2 linked regions of the Tamandua tetradactyla genome follow. The main gene of each other region encodes a partner of the protein of the gene in region 2 in a complex. Links are inferred from orthologs where the notes say so. Each region holds a gene or a part of one and is shown on either strand. Other genes may lie near its edges.

Region 1 (10,024 bases), on a different chromosome or scaffold from region 2:
AGTATATCAGAAGACTGGGTAAAGGATGATATCATCCATATTTTAAAACTTCAACTTCTGTGTGAGACTAAAGGGAGAGATGATGTTTATTTGATGCCAAGTTTATATGTTGGGTAGTGCATTTCCTAATTTAACTTGTATGGTCAGTTTAACTGAACACAGTAAGTACATGGAATCTTGAATAGGGCATGAGATTCTGTAGGTTTGTCTAGAGTGATGCCTCAGTAAATCCCAGAAAGATTTGAACAGTGAATAAAAAGGTATTTGCAAAGTCTCCTTGTGGGAATGGTGAGAAAGGGGGAAAATTCAATTTCCCCAAGCGGAGAATTCTTGATATTCTCATAAGCAGTGGGGACAATCAAAGCAATAGGCTGAGCCCCCAATCTTGGGGTTTGTTCATGTGAAACTTAACCCTTGCAAAGGACAGGCTGAGCCTACTTAAAATTAGACCTTTCTCTTTCTCCCTCAAGAGAACCTCTTTTGTTGCTCAGATGTGGCTTCTCTCTCTCAGGCAAGATGACAAGCAAACTCACAGCCCTCCCTCTCTACATGGGACATGACTCCCAGGAGCGTGGACTTTCCTGGCAATGTGGGACAGAAATCCTAGAATGAGCTGGGACTCAGCACCAAGGGATTGAGAAAACATTCTCCGCTGAAAGGGGGAATTGAGAAATGAGACAAAATAAAGTGTCAATGGCTGAGAGATTCCAAACAGAGTTAAGAGGTTATCCTGGAGTTTATTCCTACACATTAAATAGATACCACCTTTTTAGTTAAGGCTTAACAGAGACGCTGGAGGGAACTGCCTGAAAATGTAGAGCTGTGTTCCAATAGCCATGTTTCTTGAAGATGATTATATAATGACACAGCTTTCGCAATGTGACTACATGATTGTGAAAACCTTGTGTCTGATGCTCCTTTTATCTACCTTATCAACATATGAGTAAAACATATGGAATAAAGATGAATAATAGGGGGAACAAATGTTAAAATAAATTTAGTAGATTGAAATGCTAGTGATCAATGAAAGGGAGGGGGCAAGGGGTATGGTATGCATGAATTTTTCTTTGTTTTCTTTTTATTTCTTTTTCTGAATTGATGCAAATGTTCTAAGAAATGTTCATGATGATGAATATACAACTATGTGATAAAAAAGTTCATATTGAAAAAACACAAATACTAATCATTTTATTAATCTGTAAATGACTCTACGTAACAAATGGCATATATGACTCCCGAGCAGTGGCAAATTAAACTTATACTGAAGTCTGCTAAACTCATTTTAATATTTTCCCATCAGAAACCAATACCATAGTCAAGAAAGTAACAGCAGAAATTGACATTTCTATTCTATGCTAGATATAATTTAATGATGAAATAAAAATGTTTATACAATAAAATTTAACAGCAGATTGGATGACCAAGGCACTTATAGTGATTTGTAAAAGGGGACATAATTTCATATCACTGGTGGTATTAATCAATGCAAAATAGCAATTATTATACCTTGAGGCTAAATTCTCAGATTATACTGAAATTCTTCTGCAATAGAGTTAAAGTTACTGTCACAATTTTGTAGCCGAAAGGGACTTCAAATATTATATTAAAGATCAAGAAAATGAGGCTCAGAGAAGTGGAGCACTTTCCCACAGTTACTCAGAGAAGAAAAAGCAGGGCAGGAACTTGAATCACAGATTTCTGTCTCTAGTGATCTGCCCAAGGCTCAAAGTAAGGGACAAACCTAGTACCTAACCATACGACATGCTGCCTCCCAGTAAAGATTACAAGTAGCATCAGATGATAGCTCTGTTTGAAAGAGCTATCAGTAGTTGACTTTGCACCGACTGTCCTCATCAGAAGTCTAGCCAACTAAAGCAGGTTGAGCTTCCAGCATGAGCAGGAATGTGTACATGAAACACACCGTATTGTTTACACTAAATGCCAGAATTTGGGCTCAAAGACCTGGATCAAATTTAAGTCAAACCCTAGTACTGAAGATTCCATGAAGTTCACAGTATGAAGGTGAATAGATTAAGTTCTCCACGCTGATTTTTATTTCCTCCTAGGTAACGGCATCTCTGTGACATGAACAAATTTCATTTATTGAGACTCTAAAAATGACATACACTCTTAACCCAAGGGGGCTTATAGCTAATATGTAATAATAGAACCTGGATTTGACAGACCTCTGTTGACTCCAAATCCTTCATGCCTCTTTTGCTTTTACTCTAAACTTGTTTTGATTTCTCTTGTGCATAAGTGCGCCTAAGCAACATTTAACAAAATAATTTTGTCTTATCCTTACAGTATTTGAACTGTCTGTATAACAGTAATCATCAGTATATGTTCTAGCCCAGGTCTTAAAAATTTTTTCTTTTACAAGTTTCAGAGCTACTTACCCCTACAAAAAATATTTGACCTTCAGGATGATGACTTTCTTTCCAGATGAATCAAAGACATATGATTCCATGACAAAGCACCTTTGTCAGGCCATAGGAAAATATTTAGAGAAGGAATTACTTCCTGCATCTGATTTTCCTCTCAGGCAGCAAGCTACCTACTCTCAAGTACTCTCAAACTGCAATTTTTGCTTTCACATTTTTCTCACCTCTAAATCCCAAACAAAGTAAAAGTTCCAAAATAAAAGCAAGAAATGTTAACATTCTTATCTATTTTCACATCTATTGCCCTTCTACACAATTAGTTTGCTTCTATCTAATACATACAGCTAAGAGAAAGCCAACAGGTGAAGGTAAAGAAAGCATTCATTTTATTAAGAGCTGTAGCCAACCTAGCAGAGATGGGCCTTTGAGTTTGAATATAACTGTTTAATTGTATTCTCAGATTCTATGTAGGACGACAATCAAACAATCTAATGCCAGAGGCAAATCTGATTTTCTGCCTCCTCACTGAAAAAAAGGAGAGAAGGTGGAGGACAACACAAATAAGAACATTTTTACTCTCTGCAACTCCACAATCTGTTAAGGGGATTTGAGAAAAATTTTCAAACTGGCCAAAAACCTGGGGTACAGTTCTTTCTTCTGCCAAAGAGTTCGGACCCAAAGAAATCGTATCCTACGGCTAAGCAGACTCCAAGGCAAAAATTTGTTCAAGCAACATTTTTTGTGTACTTTCTAAATGTGTAAATATTGAAGACACTTTCAACCTGGAGTGCTAACATTCTAGCGGGAGAGAAATGTATGTAAACAAATATCACTTCATCAGGCAACGGAGGTCTGAACAAGGTGTAGTGGTGATGGCGTGCCTCAGAAACACAGGATGTCTTTTCAGGGCAGGTGGAGTTTTGGAAAATGAATAGGACGATTCAAGATCTCTGACGTCCATACAAGAGTGATTCGATTCTATCGCTAATTTGGTTTACATGCCCCTTCTCCACTCCAGTAAACTTCCCTTTTCAGATAATTTACCAAATCTCATTTGTTTGTCTTCCTCACCACTAAACTGTAAGCTCTGTGAGGACAGGAATGCGAAGATTCAGTCATATAAATCCAATGCCCGTCTCAGGGCCTGGCACATAGCAATGTTTCGTGAAATGGGTGACTTTTCACAAAAGTCAGGGCGCCTGTTCCTATAACCTGAATCATTCTGTCCGATCTGTAACATTCAAGAGGACTGGGTGTGGGCGCTCTTCGGGAGCGTTCACCACAGACCACGAAGTAAGAAGCTGAGGGCAGTTCAAGAGGGACTCAAGAAACAAGGTACCTAGCTGCTGGTTCAGAATATGGAGGTACCGCATTCCGGGCAGGCGTTCCTGAACCTACGGGTGTCACGCGACACATTCTCTTACTTACATTCGCGAGGGAAAGATCTCAATTCGGTCTTTGCCCGACATTCTGACGATGACTGTACGGCTCTGGTCCCCGCCGGGCAATCGTGGCTGCAATAGTTCCAGTCCTCGCACGCCACTACCGGAGTCAGGGGGTTGGGTCACGAAACCCCTCCCGTTGCTAAGAGGCAGCGGGATATGCACTCTTCACTTCCGCTTCCTGTCGGCATAGGAGGAGGAGGGCTGGGAAGGAGGTAATGCCCGGATGTTGAAGCTCTGGCTCCGCGAACTGTCACTGGATTCCGGTTCGCCTGTAGTCCGATGGCTGCGCCTGGCGCTGCGTGCGCCGGCCTAAAGGGAAGAGAACACTCCTTGTCTTCTTCCACTTTCCGTCTTTGTCCACAGCGCCACCACGTGGTTGACGAAAACTTTGATAAAGGATTCATTCTTCAGGGACAAGGAGTCACAGTCCTACCTCTCGCGCGCGCCTTAAAGATTTCTCAGGGAACAATAAAGATAACGAGAACGAATACTATTCAAATCCTGCTGTGACCCTCATTCTTCCTAGTTCTCGGAGGACCTCGACTCTATGATCAGTGATGTAGGGCCTCTACTCTGTTAGCGCTTGCGTGGTACGAGGTGGTTCCGCATGCGCGGTGGGGTCGAGCAAAGCGCACGCTGAGGCGGATCGGTGGTTGGTGCGGATCGGTGGCTGGTGCGGGTGGAACAGGTTTCATCTACCCGGTTACAGATCGCGGCGCGGGACCCCAGTACGGAATTCGGACACATTCCTCAGGTGACTGGTGCCCCAGCTCGGTTTCTCCAAGAACTCACTTTGGTTTGTGTCCTGTGACCTGGGTGGTCGAAAGAGGGTAGGCCCCGGGCTAACACCCCCTCCCTTTCCCGTCCGTGCGCGGGAAGTATTTGGACACCGCCACCGTCCCCCGGATGTGTAGCAAGCCTCCTTGCCGGCTCGGTGTCGGTCTTTCAGATTCCAGAGGCATCACTGTACGTGCGAGGAAATCTGGTGATGACAAGTTAAACAGTACACCCTCTTCAGTGGGTTTAAAGTGAGGATGACTTAAGGTGGGGCGGCTTGGAGAGGACGCTCTGACACCTCCCAGCTCCAGGACGCTGAGTGCTTTGTTTTTTTCCGGGCCTGAGAATTCCATCCCTTTTTCCTTCCTCCCCAGTAATACTACCAAAATTTTTCCTGCCTCTTGATGAAGGCAGAAGTGTCCAGATCGAATCAGTGAGAACGGCCACCGTGTGGAAATGACCTGAGGTAACGAAGGTCCGAGAATAGTTTATTCATTTGATAATTTGTTTTTAAAAATCGAAGTTTAATTACCCTATCGCTCTAGTTGTATGTTTCTGTAGCAGGCGTTATCCCTTGAATTGAAACTAAATCCTATTACTGAGGTCTGTTACTCTTAGTGTCAGTTTACCACATTTTGGCGATGATACGACTAGAACTGTAGAATTACACACTGTGGGAATATAAAAGCATAAGATAGGAGTACTTGAGGGTTAAATACTTACTCAGCCTTACATCCCTTCAATTAACTTATGCTGTTTTAATTTTCATTTAACAGGAAACATTGTTTCTTGGAGAAAATGTGTAACAGAAATCTTGACATTTTTTCCCGACTGAATTGTTATTCAAGAAAAAAAATTGTTTTTCAGAAGTTTGGGCATTACTTATACATAACTTTGGTGCTTGTTCTCAGTTCTTTTTTTGCCAAGACACAATCGTGATTGTCAAAAGTTTTGGCTGCCTGATCCACAGTAACGTTTGCAATCTTGATGATACCTCAACTACAGCGAAAAAGTTTGTTTTGTGTAGTATTCATATACTAAAATCTAGCATTCAGAAAACACAACTGGTAAGAGCTAAATTAAAATTATCAGTGGTGTTGTTGTTATGCAGTAAGCTTTAATTTGGAAAAGATGGACTTCCTGCTTTTATTGTGGTGAGTTATGACTGGTTTAAGAAAGAACTTCTAACCTATTACATGAGCAGGCAAAATTTATTGACAATGCAGGAATCTGAAATTAGCGTATAGTTCAGTTAATACATTTTGAAAGTGGATGATGCTCTAGATTTGATGTCAGAAGACTTAGGTTTAGCTGCTGCACATCCACTTGTTAAACAGTTGTCCTTGAGAAAGTCATTTAATATTTCCATTCCTGGGTTCCCTGTTAATCGAGTGCTATACTGTGCTCCTTTCAGAACACCTTATTTTGTATTTAATTTGCTTACTAGTTTGTTTCCCACTTTATGCTTAATTCCTTAGGTAGGATCTTTTCTTGTATCAACAGTACATAGTAGATATGGTTTAATGTATTAAATTATAAAATGGAATTAAGACCTCCTTTGCCTTTTAATATCTTATGTTTTGTAGAACTTTACAGTTTTCAAGATGTTTTCGCATATATTTGATCTTGTTTAACCCTTAACAAACCTGTCAGATATGTGGCACAAACAAGAAAATTGGAGTTCAAAGAGGGTACCTTTCTCAAGCAACCACAGCTAATAGCTAGGACCCAAGCACTGGAACTCAAGGCTGTTTCCAAAGTTCACTGTACTGCTTGCCTGGCTTGAGGCTTGTTGTTGAAGACAAAATATTCTTTAATCATAGTGCCTTGAAAATGATAAAGGACTGAATGGATACCTAGTGTGGTTTCTGGTTTCCTGACTGTTAAAAAAAATTAGTGTAATTATTAGTATTTCATAAGTAGATGTATTCAAATCTCTCAATTAAAATGTAGTTTCTTTATGAAGTTAATTATTTCTTACTAGCTACTTTTTTCTTTAATGTTAATAACATACAGAAATCATCCTTTTAGCCCAGGTATTACAAAGGATCTTACTTCCTAAAGAAGTATCACTCATCGCTCCCTTCAGGATTCTTTCACAATATTGCCTGTGTTCTTTAGCCATAAACTTAAGCCTTGCTTCCCCAAAATTACCAACTTTGATATTTGAAGAAAGTTGATGGGTAAATGTGGTTAACACCTGTTAAATCTTTTAGAACTGTCATGCATTTCCATTACATTTATTTTGACATACAATTTGAAACTTTTTGGCTCTCAAATTTGAGCACTTTATTTATAGACGTCTGTCTGACAGCAATTGTTCGTCCTCTGCCTCTCTCCCAAAAAACACCCTGTTTAAAAACAAAACAACTAGCTCAGCTGTATCTTGGTGGATAATTCTGGCCATTGACTGTCTAGTTTCTGTCATTTGCTAGATCCCTTTTGTAGGCTGCTACAAAAGAAATACATCTCTGCCACTGTTACTTATATGCTGCTTTTTTGGCTGTTGTTAAACAGGATAGGTTAGTACTAATAGTGTGCACCAATCTGTGGTATATGTTTCAGAGTCACATATGTATGTTAGTTGCTTTTTGTTTAAGTTAGATGTTTCTAATTGTAATCTTTTTGTTGATAATACTGAAAAGAATAGCTGGGTGGATAAGGGCAGATTCTGGATCGAAACTGGGTTCAAATTTTGGCCCTATCAGTCAACAGTAGTATGAAGGGACAAGTTGCTTAAACTGTACTTCAGTTTCTTCATCTATAAAATACGGAAAACTAGGGGGGGAGTGGTACCTTGGAGAGATAAACAGTGACCAGATTATATAGAGGACCCTGTAGGTAGTAACAATGTGTGTAAGTTACTAGGCCCCACCGGGAAGATATGTGTGTGCCATTTAACATTGCAGCAGAACTCTAGTGTTTCATGAGCTGGATGTGGAGGCTCTGTCAGTAAGATCTGTCAGTAAGATTTCCCAACTTACAAGAAAAAAATAAGTTGCTAAGTAATTTTTCACAAATTTTCCTTATATCTTTAGGTCCTGTTATTCCTTATCTTCTGAACTCTGACAACACTAAATAGTTCTTAAGGTTAACAGAAGAGCATGAAGATAATCAGCCATGATTAGTTTGAGCCCTTCCTTTTTAAAAATACACATCGACCAAGGGTATGATTTCAGGATTGTGAGTCATATCAATGGAAGTAATATGAGGTATTTCATGTTAGCTGAAGAATAACTTCCAGGTGCTCTACCAAGTAAATTTGAGAACCACTTGTAGAAAAAAGGTGTGGTACTGCAAGTAGCTTGGGTGGATCAAAGGGAATAGTTTTAAATATATTTAATGCTTGGAGGTTGAGAGAAGCTTGAGCTTTATAGTAATGGAAATCTGTAAGGCTGTTCTCAAGAATAGATATGCCTAGTCAACAACAAAAAAAGTAATTTGGAAATAATATGGAAAGTAAAAGCTAGAAAGTATGGTACTTGTGAATTAAACTCAAGCTCATTTTAAAAGAAAATTGAGAGGATGCATTTTAGTTAAGTTTAATATCTTTTGTGATTGACATGTTTTTTTTGTTTTTATATCCTTGACGAATGATACTGTAATTTTGGCAATGAGAAATGATAGGATTTTCTTCCCTTATTGATTAGTGCCAACGTTTAGGTAATCAGAACATTTCCTCCCTTCATAGTGTGGGGGTGGTAGCATGTACAGTCTTAGCTGACTTGGTTAAGAGTAGCTTTAGTTTTGCTGATAGGCTTGAAATAGTAGTGATGCTTCCCATCATTTGGCATTCCTTAAAGTGTTGTTATTAAAATAGTATTTTACCTTTGAGGTGTACCTTTGATTCTTAGGTCTCAGAATACTTTATAGATGGTCATTAGTTTTTATGATTCCTCTGAAACTGATGGCAGAGAATCACGCAAGCCTCACATAAATGTGGAGCAAAATAAAAATTAAGGCTTGGTTCCTGTCAAGACCTATTGGATGTTTATTCAGTGTAACCTCCCTTCTACTAACCATCTGATCTTTATTCTAAGATTGTACAAAACTGATAATGGTTTTCTGAATTCTGTATTTGAACATCTATCTGTTTTCTGGTACCAGAAAGAAGTTTAAAAATGTGAAAAGACTAGTAAGCTATATTTTCCTTTATCTTTGTTTTCTTTCAGGGGCAAGATGTAGAAAATTAATTTTTCTTTATTTTGACTATAATAGATAACTTATTTGATTATTTTGTTTAAATTGCAGAATGCCAGGTTTAAGTTGTAGATTTTATCAACACAAGTTTCCTGAGGTGGAAGATGTAGTGATGGTGAATGTAAGATCCATTGCTGAAATGGGGGCTTATGTCAGCTTGCTGGAATACAACAACATTGAAGGCATGATTCTTCTTAGTGAGTTGTCCAGAAGGCGCATTCGATCTATAAACAAACTCATCCGAATTGGAAGGAATGAATGCGTGGTTGTCATTAGAGTGGACAAAGAAAAAGGTAAGTGAGAAAAATATCCAAAATATAATTCCAATTTCTGGTGTTAAAAAGAAATTGATTTAGGGTGGGCCACGGTGGCTCAGCAGGCAGAGTTCTCACCTGCCATGCCAGAGGTCCCAGGTTCGATTCCCGGTACCTGCCCATGTTAAAAAAAAAAGAAAGAAATTGATTTAAAAATTTTTTTGTCAATTTAACCACTTTTATTTTAAAAAATAGAACTTTTATACTTAAACTCTTTTACATACAAAGTTTTTAGAGAAGGATGCCAGTTAGCCATCTAACCAAGATTCAGTTTACTATGGTTTAATTCATTCATTCAGGTGCTAGCTTTGTGGGTCAAAAAACTTTAGTTTTATCCCAACAAATTATCAGGACCTTGGTAATTAACTCATGTTGGCCAAACTCAGAAGGGACAGATAAGTAAACTAGAGTACTAGTTCATTAATATACATTGGTATGTTGATTTAAAGCTAAATTAGTTTCAGATTACTGGGTGAGCAAGAAATGGTGCCAAGGTGCCTTGATTTTTAAAAACAGTTGTTGGAATATTTTATATAACCTTTGAGAAAGCTCACCCCCTTATCTCAAACCCAGTATTATATATCTCTCTAATTAGAGTATCTGTGTCTCCCAGATCCTGTATGACTCTTTCAGATAGTGCTGGATGAGTAGTAATTTTTTTTTACTTATTAAGTGCCTTTTTTTCTGGGCCCCATATAAACCATCACCTTTGTGACCAAATTTTTCTAAACACAGTGTATAATGCCATTAAATAGGACTTGGTTTCACCTGGCTTAAGATAATTATGATAACTATTTCCAGCCATCTCGCTGTATTTATTAAATGTTGGTTACCATCATGCTTGAAAGACTATGTCAGTCACATTGGTTGGACTTGTCTTTCTGAATCTCCTTAGACATTTAGT
Region 2 (10,339 bases):
CCAAACCTGGTGCTCAAAAAGAGGCACTACTCACTTTTTAGGCTGTCTTGCGTGCCTAAGAAATTCAGTACAAAAATATAGAAGTAGGGGGTACAAGGGCAGTTCAGTGGTAGAATTCTCGCCTGCCATGTGGGAGATCTTGGTTTGATTCCTGGCCCATGCATTTACCCCCTACCCCTCCAAAAAAATTTTTTTTCAACAAATGGTGCTGCAATAATGGGATAGTCACAAGGAAAAACAATGAAATGTAACCCCCACCATACACTATAACAATACATAAATACATACATACATAAATACATAATATATGGTAGGTATCAGTAAAGTTAATAATAAAAAAAAATTAACAAAACATGTACTAGCACTCTATATTCACGATCTTATTTAATAGCACCTATGGAGATTTTACCCAGGAGAAAACTTAATCTTAGGTTAAATAAACTGTCCAAGGTCATACATCTAATAAGTTGTTAGGGCCAGAATTTGAACCCAGCTCTGATTGGAAAATCTATTCTCGTAAAGTCTGCACTATATTGCTTTACATTTACATACCACGTTATTTTAAAATTATTTTCATATAGATCACCTAGGGCTTATCTCACCTGAATGCACAATAACTTTGAGAGGTAGGTTCTTAAATATCAAACCCTAGCTCTCCAATCCTAACTTTACTTAAAAGGACATATAACTAAAGTGGCATGATTGAAGACCTTATGATTTTAGTATAATGCTATACCATTTGTAGCACATGCAGAAACACTTTTTCCAGTTAGTACAACTTATTCCTCTTCCTTTCCCTCCCATATTTGGATGATAACCAAACCTTTTATAAACATTTGTTGTGAAAAGAATTACAATGATCACTGAATTAATCATAAGTTCATTTAAGGCTTATGTCTATTCTACTGACAAAGATTTGGATGCTTATTATTAGCAATTATATCTGGTACCTAGTGCATAACCTTAGGTGGCGATATGATCAGCAAGAGCTAAAGTTATTTAATTTTCTTGTCTAATTGCCAAATACTCTATAGTCAATAATTTATTCAATACCTATTAGTACTTCAGCACTCTGATGCTAAAACACAACAGCAGTAATGACTCTGTACTTGAACTCCTAGGAGCTTTAGTGAGGAACAGTCTAGCAAACAGTAATTAATAATCAATTCTATTTTTATTTTTTATTTATTTGACATGGGCAGGCTCTGGGAATCGAACCCGGGTCTCTGGCACGGCAGGCGAGAATTCTGTCAGAGTCACTGTTGCCTGCCCGCAAACAGTAATTAAATACAGTGTATTAAAAGTTAAAATAAATTGAAAGTATTGCATAATAGTTTATAGGACTAAGTGACTAGCTCTGCCGGTGGGAAGAAGGAAGAGCATTCTTGGTATGAACAGCAATCTGTAAAGGCAGTGAAATACAAGAAAAACCTCAAAGGAAGAGCAGAAGAGTGTCAGGGACCCTAACGCAAAAACCTTAGGTACCATTTAATACTGAATTGTGGAGCCACTGAATTTCCTAATGAACATTAAGATTTCTGCATGTAACACTCAAACTGATAAAGCTGGTCTCAGAAATGTCTTCCAAGCTTCAAATCACTTTGTGTGCGTGTGTGTGTGTGTTTGTGTGTGTGAGAGAGAGAGAGAGAGAGAGAGAGAGAGAGAATAATTCTGTCAAAGCTCTTTTCACCACTCATCTTTAGCTGCAATTCAGTTACCAATTCCTGCTGCTAATCTCACAGATTTCATCAGTGATCTAAATTATTGCTGTCATAAATTCCCTAAAATTGGGGGAATTGTGAAGTAAAATTGCAGACTCATTCAACCTCTTTCATATTGATGTTTTCCTTTAGTACTCTAAGCTTTTAGCTGTTTTTTCTTTTCTACTTTGGTCATAGCCAGCCAGGACTGGTTTGGACCTTCCACAGAACTTAAGCAATTCTCCTTATTTGGCTGAATGTCACCCAGGGCAATGAAGCAATACTGCTCTTTTTTTTTTTTTTCTGTCCTACAGAGATCAGGAAAGCCTCACACTGGAGCAAATTCATTGATAATACTATATATCTGCAGCAGGCATAGCTACATAAATTATCAAAAGATTAATACTATTGTGGATCTAAGTACAAAATGCCAAAACTGTACATCCAAAGGGGACAATTCTGGTCTTCTTCATTACTAGAGCAAAAAGCAAGTAAGAAAGACCTTTAAAGTTATGTTTTCTGTAAGGAGCATCAATAGGACAGTTTTTCTATTACTAACTTAATATAAAACTATTTTAAAATTGTTTTTATTTCAAAATTTTAATTAACTTTTTGTTCTCCTTAACAAAACAAGTTTATTGTACAAAATTTGGGAGACACAGAAATACAAAAATGAGTAATTGGGTCACATCCCAGTGATAATGATACCATCCTCCTCTTTGACAACTGTCTTTTGAATGGACTATTCATTTACATTGGTTTAACGAGACTTAACTGAGAACATGATTTTTCGGATTACAAAAAAGTGCAAATTAAATCTGTAATATCTGTGAGGCTTTTGGATGTAAAAGAACTAAAGAACTTTCTGAGTTTGCAATACAAACTGAAAAAGCCTCTTCCCTTGAGCAATAATAGTGTTGGGGGCAAAACATTAACTATTGGGCAAGACCTAGGCAAAACAATTTTTGTATTTTCACAAAACACTATTCATTAAAATATGTAGAAGTCACCTGGTATTTCACAAATGGAGAGAGCTAAGGAGGGCTGCAAAGCGCTACTTAAAACTGGTCAAGGATTTGACAGGAAGTAGCATTTAGGTAGGATTTTAGGGAGAAATAGCTTTATGTAAGAAGGTATATAGATAAGGACGTCCAAAACCAGAAAACATGGAGTCAGCAATATCCTAACTTAATCTTATCTTAAATTTATGGTCAAGTAAACTTAATTATATTCCATTTTCAGCCCGATCAGTTTCTGAAGAATTACTTTCCTTTCAGAAAAATCTAGTCACTTTTCCATAGGCTAGCCTGAACCTCTTCCAGTACGCGACGTTGCAACAATCTTCCAACGCCTCTTCATTCAACTGACACTGTCGCATTACCATCACCCCTGTTTTCAAGCTAGCATATATCCACTCTTTTAACAGTCCTCCCTCCCTCTTTTCACCATAAAATCTGAGGTGAAAGGTTCAACCTTGTTTTTAAAAACCTTTCCAGAACCACCCAAAGCATGTGGACACCTACAGAGCCCCTACGGCAGGGATGTCAGATAAAAACCTTATAATTACTGAGAAAGCACGTTCGCAAGCAAGCTCTTCGGTGACTCCGCAGAGAGGGTCATCCATATCAGTGACATTCTCTACCAAGCCTATCTCACCACAGACACTTCTTCCTCCAGGTTTTTTTCCTACTTCCTCGCTACTCAGCCCCGAGTTGGGGGAAAGGCGGCGCAGGTATTCTGCCAAAGAATGGGCTTTAGGGAATGAGACCGGGCGGCTGTTGCAGACCCCGAGGACTAGCTGAAGCAATACCACTTGTCGAAGTCCCAAGGACTTCCAATGGGAAACCACAATGGCCGCACGTACCCCCAACCCTGGAAAGAGTGGACATTCCAACCCCCAGGTAGCGGGGGCGGCCAAAGTAGGGAGCAGGGCTCAGTAGTACTAGAAAAATGAGCGCCTTTCTGGTGCAGGGTGACAATGGAGATGAAGGCCCCGGCAGCGACGGCCGCCTATCGCACTCCCCCACATCGCCCACCAACCCCTTCTACTATCCCCACCAGTCGCCGATTACCGGTCGCCGTTCACCTGCTGTGGCGCGAGGTGCAGAGACCAGTAAGGACCACGGACGCAGGAGCTCTGTCACCGCGGGCGGGGAAGTCTTCAGCTGCAGAGGGGGCGGGTCTAGACAGCACGTGACCTAGAGCTCCTCCCCGCCGCCTCCATCCGCGCGCACTTCATCTGAGAAGGCTCTATTTTTGTGGATCGTTTGCGCATTAAATTTTTCTGTTTGTGATTAAAGAAGAAGCGTAAACATTTATACAAAGTTTGTGTCATGAAGTGTAACGTAGGAAGCGTACACGACAAGGGTTAAGGTACATGCTAAGGAAGTGACGTCCAAGCCATAATCTAGTGACCGGAAATGGCGATAGAGTTCCCTTGCGGCGCACCAGCAAAATCCCAGGCTGTAAGGTTTGGACCAATCACGTCATCTTAAAGCTGGAGGCATGTGGAGGAAAGTCGAGTAAACCCGCCAGTTAATTGCGTTTGTGTCAAATCCACCTACTTTTATTTAAGTTTTTCACAGACTTATTTACATTTTCGAAGAACTGGTTTCAATAAAATCCTATTAGGAAACAGAAGCATTTGAAGGTCATTCTGGATACTACCAATTAGGAAGAAAGGGTGGGCGACGGTTGATATTGTTAACAGGGGAGAGAAAAAAGGATGAGTGGAAAAAATGGATTCTACCACCGAGGCCCCACAATTAGTGTTAAGGAGTAGGAAAAAGAGAATGCTAGAACGCCAAACCCAGTAAAATGAAGGCCCCGTACTGGAGGGGGAAGGGCGCACGAAGGGAAGTAGTGCGGCTGCGCGCGCGAAACGGCGGACGCGCCGGCGCGTAGAGGGGGTGGGGTGAAAGGTCACGGCGCCGCGGCGGGTCTGGCTGGCGGCGCGGCGGCGGGCTGGAGCCGAGCGCCCCGTGTGCACGTGTGGAGAAGCGGCGGCACCAACGCGGCGGCAGGAGACATCTCCGCCCCCTCTGGAGGCACAGGGCCGCGCTTGATTCTTGCGGCCTCCGACACCCGCTTTAGTTCCCTGCCCCAGGAGAGTAGACTGGCTTCTGGGGTTGAGTGGCCCGAGCTGAGGGCGCGAAGAGCTCAAGGCGGCGGCGACGACGGCGTTGATATCAGTGGTAACGACGGCCTCAGCAGGCGGAGAAGATGAAAGGGTGAGGAAGGGCAACTGGGCTGGGCCTGGTTGGCAGGGGAGAAACCCTGAGCCCGGGTAGAGGGAGGGAGGCAGCGAAAGAGAGGAGAGACTCTGAGAGAAGACAGGGCTGTCGTGAAGTGCCGGGCAGAGGGTGATTGCTGGGCTTCTCTGATCACTCCACTCACGGAGGGGGCGGAGGCGGGGCTCGGGTTGTTGGCGGGCTGAAGGACCAGCGGAGGTAAGACTCGGGAAACCCGAGGATTTTGGCCCAAAGGATAAATGTAGGCTGAACGGAGGTAGCGAATGAGTGGGGCAGCAGGGAAAAGCTATTGTGAGGCGTCTGTGGCCTCCTACCCGGAATGGACGGCCTGAGCCACCGATCAGTGTCCGCCCGCCACTCCAGGTGGAGTAGTCAATTTGTCCTCTTCTCCAGATGAGGATTAACACTGGAACTGCTGTCTTTCACACCGTGCAGTTTGATTCACACTTAGGAACCGTGCAGAACCTTCTGGAGGGGGGGAGGGGGAGGATTAGAATAAAGAGCATGGGTATGAGTATTAAGGGCTAGTGACTCAACTAGATTTGGGTTGGGTCAGAGCGGGTGGGGGAGGGGAGAAAGCTCGAGCGCTGTAGTCCTGGGGTGCCAAAACGTTTAAGGAAGTGTTGTTGATCGGTAGGTGGAGCTATTGCTTCAGTAGTTTACTGTTGCCCCTGACTGCTGAGTGGGGTCTTAGGGTGTTCATCTGATGCTTTTTTCAGACGCTTTGCAAAGTTTTTGTTTCCCTTCTAGTTAAAATTAGGGACTATTTTGATTTGACTGTTTCCAGTTGATAGAATGTCTCCTTAGTATTAAATATAACTCTTAAATAAGAATTATATAAGGCTATATTTTAAATCATTGCCTGAGTTAGTTTTGTAGCTTGTCTTCTCTACCCTCCTTAGAAAAAGAAATGAAAAAAAAATTTTTTTTTTTTTTGCATAGGCAGGCACCGGTAATCGAACCCAGGTTCTCTGGCATGGCAGGCGAGCATTCTTGCCTGCTGAGCCACCGTGGCCCGCCCTGAAAATTTATAAATATGAAAAGGTTTTAAGGTGCCTACGGTTTTTTCTCTTTAGTCAGTTAAATAAGTAACTTTTTGAGTTAGTGAAGTCTTTCAAACAGCCCTTTCGAAGATGAAATAAAGATAAGCTTAAGTAATCTCAGACTGTCTAGTGTGTGTTTATATATGTGTGTGTGTGTTAAAGAAGAGGTTCCAAGAAAGTTTTTTGTTCTTAGGTCTGTAATATGTTTTCTTACAATGATTTTCCTTTAAGTACAGGAAATTATTTCTAATGTTAAATTGTACATTTTGTATTAAAAAGTCTTTGAAATTAAGGATATTATGAAGAAATGTTCACAGTCCCTGCATTATATCCTATCAGTCCAGTAAGGAAACTAATTGAGGGGCTTAAAAAGTGTTTGCTGCATTCAAATCATGATCTAGGAAATGTGGCATGATCCAGCATAATTTGGGAGTGTTTTTTTTTTTTTAATCCTGGTAAGACTGCATTCCTTGAATATGGTTGTCGGCTCTTGTTTCTGTATTCTCATTGCCAGGCTCTCAGTACAAACTTGTCTTGTTCTCTTCAAGTAATAAAAAGGAAACTGAAGAGTTTCCAGTATGAGGCTGCTACAGATTTATAGAAGGGGGACTCTAAGAAATTATTCTGGGTGTTTCCAAATTTTTTGGTCTAGATCAGTGTAATTAGGAAGAAATATGTGTAATACCTAACATGGCTATACAGATGGAGCTATATAGTGGTATTATTCAGGTACTACATTCATTTAATATATCCATGAAGCAACTGTCTTTTTATTTAAATGAATATTTACGTGTAAGAGGTTACTAACTTGATGGGACAGAGCCCCAGAAATGAGTAATTAGCCAAACTTAGAGGAAACCTAAGGCAACACAGCTATTGAATTTGTACTTCATGCCAGCCAGCAACCATCCCTGGAATGAAGATTCCTTAAGTCTAGATCCTAGCACTTCTCATGATTGGGAGCTTAGAAATGTGTTCTTAACTGTAAACCTTAATTATGATTTTCCAGAAATAGTCACTTTAACTTCCCAGATGAACTGAAGTACAGGTAAGATGGTACTTTAAAAAAAAATTTTGCTTCTAAGTCTGTATTTAAGGTTTGAACACAAGAAGACAGTATACATTGTTTACAAGATTTTAACATCATTGAGTTCAGAGACTTAAATCACCAAGCAGAAGGCAATCAGTGTTATAGTCCTGACTCTTGATTTGTTGTCAGTTACTCTGTAGGTTTTGTATGGAATTTTATTTGCTAAGTTTTTATTGTATGTTGAGCTAACAGAACAGTAAGTTGGATAGAATACCTAAAATCTGAAACAATGAAGAACTCCTGATTCTGTATAGTTTAAATATTTTATGTTGTTTGTTTATATTCCATATCTATCATTTTAAACTTTTTGAATTTATCTCATTTTTCTTCATATATCTACCTAGTTTTCATTATTACCAGGAAGAAAATACTCCATTGTGTTAACATACATATTTGCCTTTCTCCATAGTAGAGAATTTCCTATTATTAATTATTGCATGTATTTAAAGGTCCAGTGTTTGAGATCTGTTACAAGAATGATGCTTTCTTTGTACTGAGGTTGCTTGTTTTTATGAATAAGGGACATTATATTTTGAATTTGTGGATGGCAAGCTGATTATTTTAATTATACTCCTCTCCAGGGAAGGTGAAACTCAAGCAAGAAGGTATGCCATAGACATCCATGACTGAGGTGGCAGTTAACTAGTCAATATAATAGAAAGCAGAAGTGAATCCATTTACTCTTCAGTTGTAGAAAAGGGGTATAAATTAGATCTCATAAAAATGTACTTAAAAAAATGCGTGATCAAGGTAAAGATGGGAAAGTAGAGAGTAGACACCAATAATATGTAGTATGTGCAACAATGTAGTTTACTAATTAAAACACTAAAAGTCATTTTCAGCAAATGCTACTAGAAAATAAAATTAAAGTATAAGAATCTTGGTCAGAAACTATGTTGAAGAATTCAAAATAATGGTTACCTCCAACTATGGCTGGGAGGGGACACAAGAGAGTCAGATTCTGAGATGCTAGAAATAGTCTGTGTTTTTCTGGATGTTGATTACATAGTTGTATACATATATTAAAAAAAAAGAAAGCTGTTGCATTGTACACACAATTTATACCCTTTACTGTATAACTTATACTTTTTTAACTTATTAAACAGCTTCTTTTTTCTTAATATTTTATTTATTAGACAGCTTCTTTTTCTTTTTTTTCTTAACGTTTTATTGCTGTTTTTGCCAGCAAAGCAATTTTTTTTTTAAAGCCCTTCAGACTAAAGTAAGAGTCAGCTTTTGTAAACCTGTGATTCATGATCCTCACTTCTGGGAAACCAGTAACTTGTGAGATGCTATTTGAGATGATGATTTTAACAAATACTCTTTAGTGTCCCCTTTGCTATATTGAGGTGAATATACCTGTACTGCAAGTTTTTTTTTTTAAATCAGTGTAATTCCCTATAACTTTAATATAAAGGAGAAATAAAAAGGAAAGTAAATTGTAATGAAATATTTATTTCATTATATAAATGGTCAGCTACAACTACACCATAGGATATAAGAATATCAGATTTCATATTTCTCTGTAAATAGAATAATTTTATAATTTAGGAAGTGATATCAGATACCAACAAGTATATGCATTGGTGGCTCAAGCTCTGTTGCCAACAGGGGTGTGATTTTCTTTTTTTTTTTTTTTTAATAATCCGTCCTCCACTTGTAGTCAACCATGGTAACGTTTTGGAAAAAAAACAAAGAATAATCAATAATTTCTGGGTTGGGAGATTTTTTTTTTTTAAGATTGTCTTTTAAAGATCTTCCAGAAGACAAAGCATTCTTCTATCACTTCAAGATAATATGCCCTGTTTCTCAAACTTTCAAACTGCTGTTATGTGAATGTCACTCCAGATATGATTAGTAGAATGGGGAGGTGGGACTGTTGTCATCATTGTTCTGAATAGTATATGCCTGTTATTGCAATTTATGGTCAAATTAATTTTACACTGTTGTATATTAACTGTACTTTCAACGAAAATCCCTTCCTGAGGCTTATGCAGATTTCAACCATTGTCTTTCAACTGATATCTATTAGTTTTCAACTGATAACTTCATTTTGCTACATCCTCTATTTTGGACTGTGGAAGTCATTTTGTCTCCTGGTTTTGTCTTCCAAACATCAACTAGGACTTTCAGCTTTGTACCATCTGAAGAGATACGCTTTCTCAATTATTCAGATGTTTGTCCTTCAACTTTTTTTTTTTTTAACAACCTCACAATAACCAATAGAACACCAGTAGTTAACTAATAGGAACTTCCTTTCCATCGAGGAATTAATAATTGTTGGATTGTAGTTTAATAGCTACAAAATTACATTGTTGTGCCGTCACCCAAACTAGCTTTCTCTTTATATTTCTTCCTCCATCATTTCCTATTTACATTCATTCAGTATCTAATTTATTGGCAAAGTGTTAGGTCTGTGGTGTCCAATATAGTAGTGGCTAGTTAAAGTGGCTGTTGGGTAACTGAATTGTGAGTTGTATGACTGAGGAATAGAATTTTAAAATTTAATTAAAAATTTTAAACTTATACAGTCTGTTATTGGACAGTTTTTAAGTATGGAATGACTTGGATATGTGGATCTTCTTTTTCAGCTATACATTTTATGAAATATAAATACAGACCAAAATATTTCTAAGGGAAATTACATGAATTGAGATGTGCTGTAAGTGTACTACATACTGGGTTTTGGAGACCCAGTATGGAAAAATATATACTCATTATTAGTTTTTATTTTGATTGCACATTGAAATGATTTCACTTGTTTCGTTTTACTTTTTTAATGTGGCTAGTAGAAAATTTTGAATTACTTATGTGACTTTAAATTATATTTCTGTTCAACGGCGCTGTATTGGACTGTGAAAAAAATGAAGTTGTGTAAAATATGATCTTTTTATCCAGAATCTAGTTCCCAGATGGTAAATGTTTCAACATACAGTCTGACAGTTAATTTGTGGCTATTTATACCTCTGTGGAGGATTCTGAGGCCAGTCCTGGGTTTAGATTTGAGTATTGTCATTCAATCTCTGCTTATAATGGATAGGGAAGGGAGAATTGGATGTATGTATTTGCCTCTCTTTGCTGAGCTAATATAACCTATATCCTGTCTCCATCATTGTTAAAGCTGTTCTTAAGGGAACACTTCATTTTCCAAGACCAGTGGCTTCCCATCTCATTCCCCTATGGTAAGGTAGTGCATGCTTGCTCTTAAAAATACTTGACACACACTTTTAGTTATTTCTTTTGGATAATTCCCTG

What was found. Proteins that work in one complex are often made in the same cells at the same time.
Region 1: the proteins of ATP6V1A (region 2) and ATP6V1D are in contact, whole or in part, in a cryo-EM structure (PDB 9B8P), measured with the Rattus norvegicus proteins. The link is inferred for Tamandua tetradactyla from reciprocal best matches to the Homo sapiens genes ATP6V1A and ATP6V1D. Residues at the interface, in NP_001101788.1 of Rattus norvegicus: Ala366, Met368, Pro369, Ala370, Asp371, Ser372, Asp416, Ser418, Asp436, Lys438, Glu491, Gln494, Leu495, Val496; in NP_955418.1 of Rattus norvegicus: Lys4, Asp5, Arg6, Arg167, Ala171, Val175, Ile176, Arg179, Tyr186, Glu190, Arg194, Glu197, Tyr200, Arg201, Lys204, Ile205, Lys208.

Annotation. Positions count from the first base shown.
Region 1 is NC_135338.1:24,873,527-24,883,550, forward strand, and holds the start of ATP6V1D (V-type proton ATPase subunit D), read right to left. Parts: upstream 4,141-10,024; 5' UTR 3,854-4,140; coding exon 3,813-3,853; intron 3,791-3,812; exon of another isoform or gene 3,724-3,790; intron 2,481-3,723; exon of another isoform or gene 2,400-2,480; intron 1-2,399. Other genes in the region: EIF2S1 (eukaryotic translation initiation factor 2 subunit 1), read left to right, coding at 8,859-9,099. UniProt on the Homo sapiens protein: Subunit of the V1 complex of vacuolar(H+)-ATPase (V-ATPase), a multisubunit enzyme composed of a peripheral complex (V1) that hydrolyzes ATP and a membrane integral complex (V0) that translocates protons.
Region 2 is NC_135336.1:32,902,849-32,913,187, forward strand, and holds the start of ATP6V1A (V-type proton ATPase catalytic subunit A), read right to left. Parts: upstream 3,914-10,339; 5' UTR 3,787-3,913; exon of another isoform or gene 3,773-3,786; intron 1-3,772. Other genes in the region: NAA50 (N-alpha-acetyltransferase 50), read left to right, coding at 4,923-4,930. UniProt on the Homo sapiens protein: Catalytic subunit of the V1 complex of vacuolar(H+)-ATPase (V-ATPase), a multisubunit enzyme composed of a peripheral complex (V1) that hydrolyzes ATP and a membrane integral complex (V0) that translocates protons.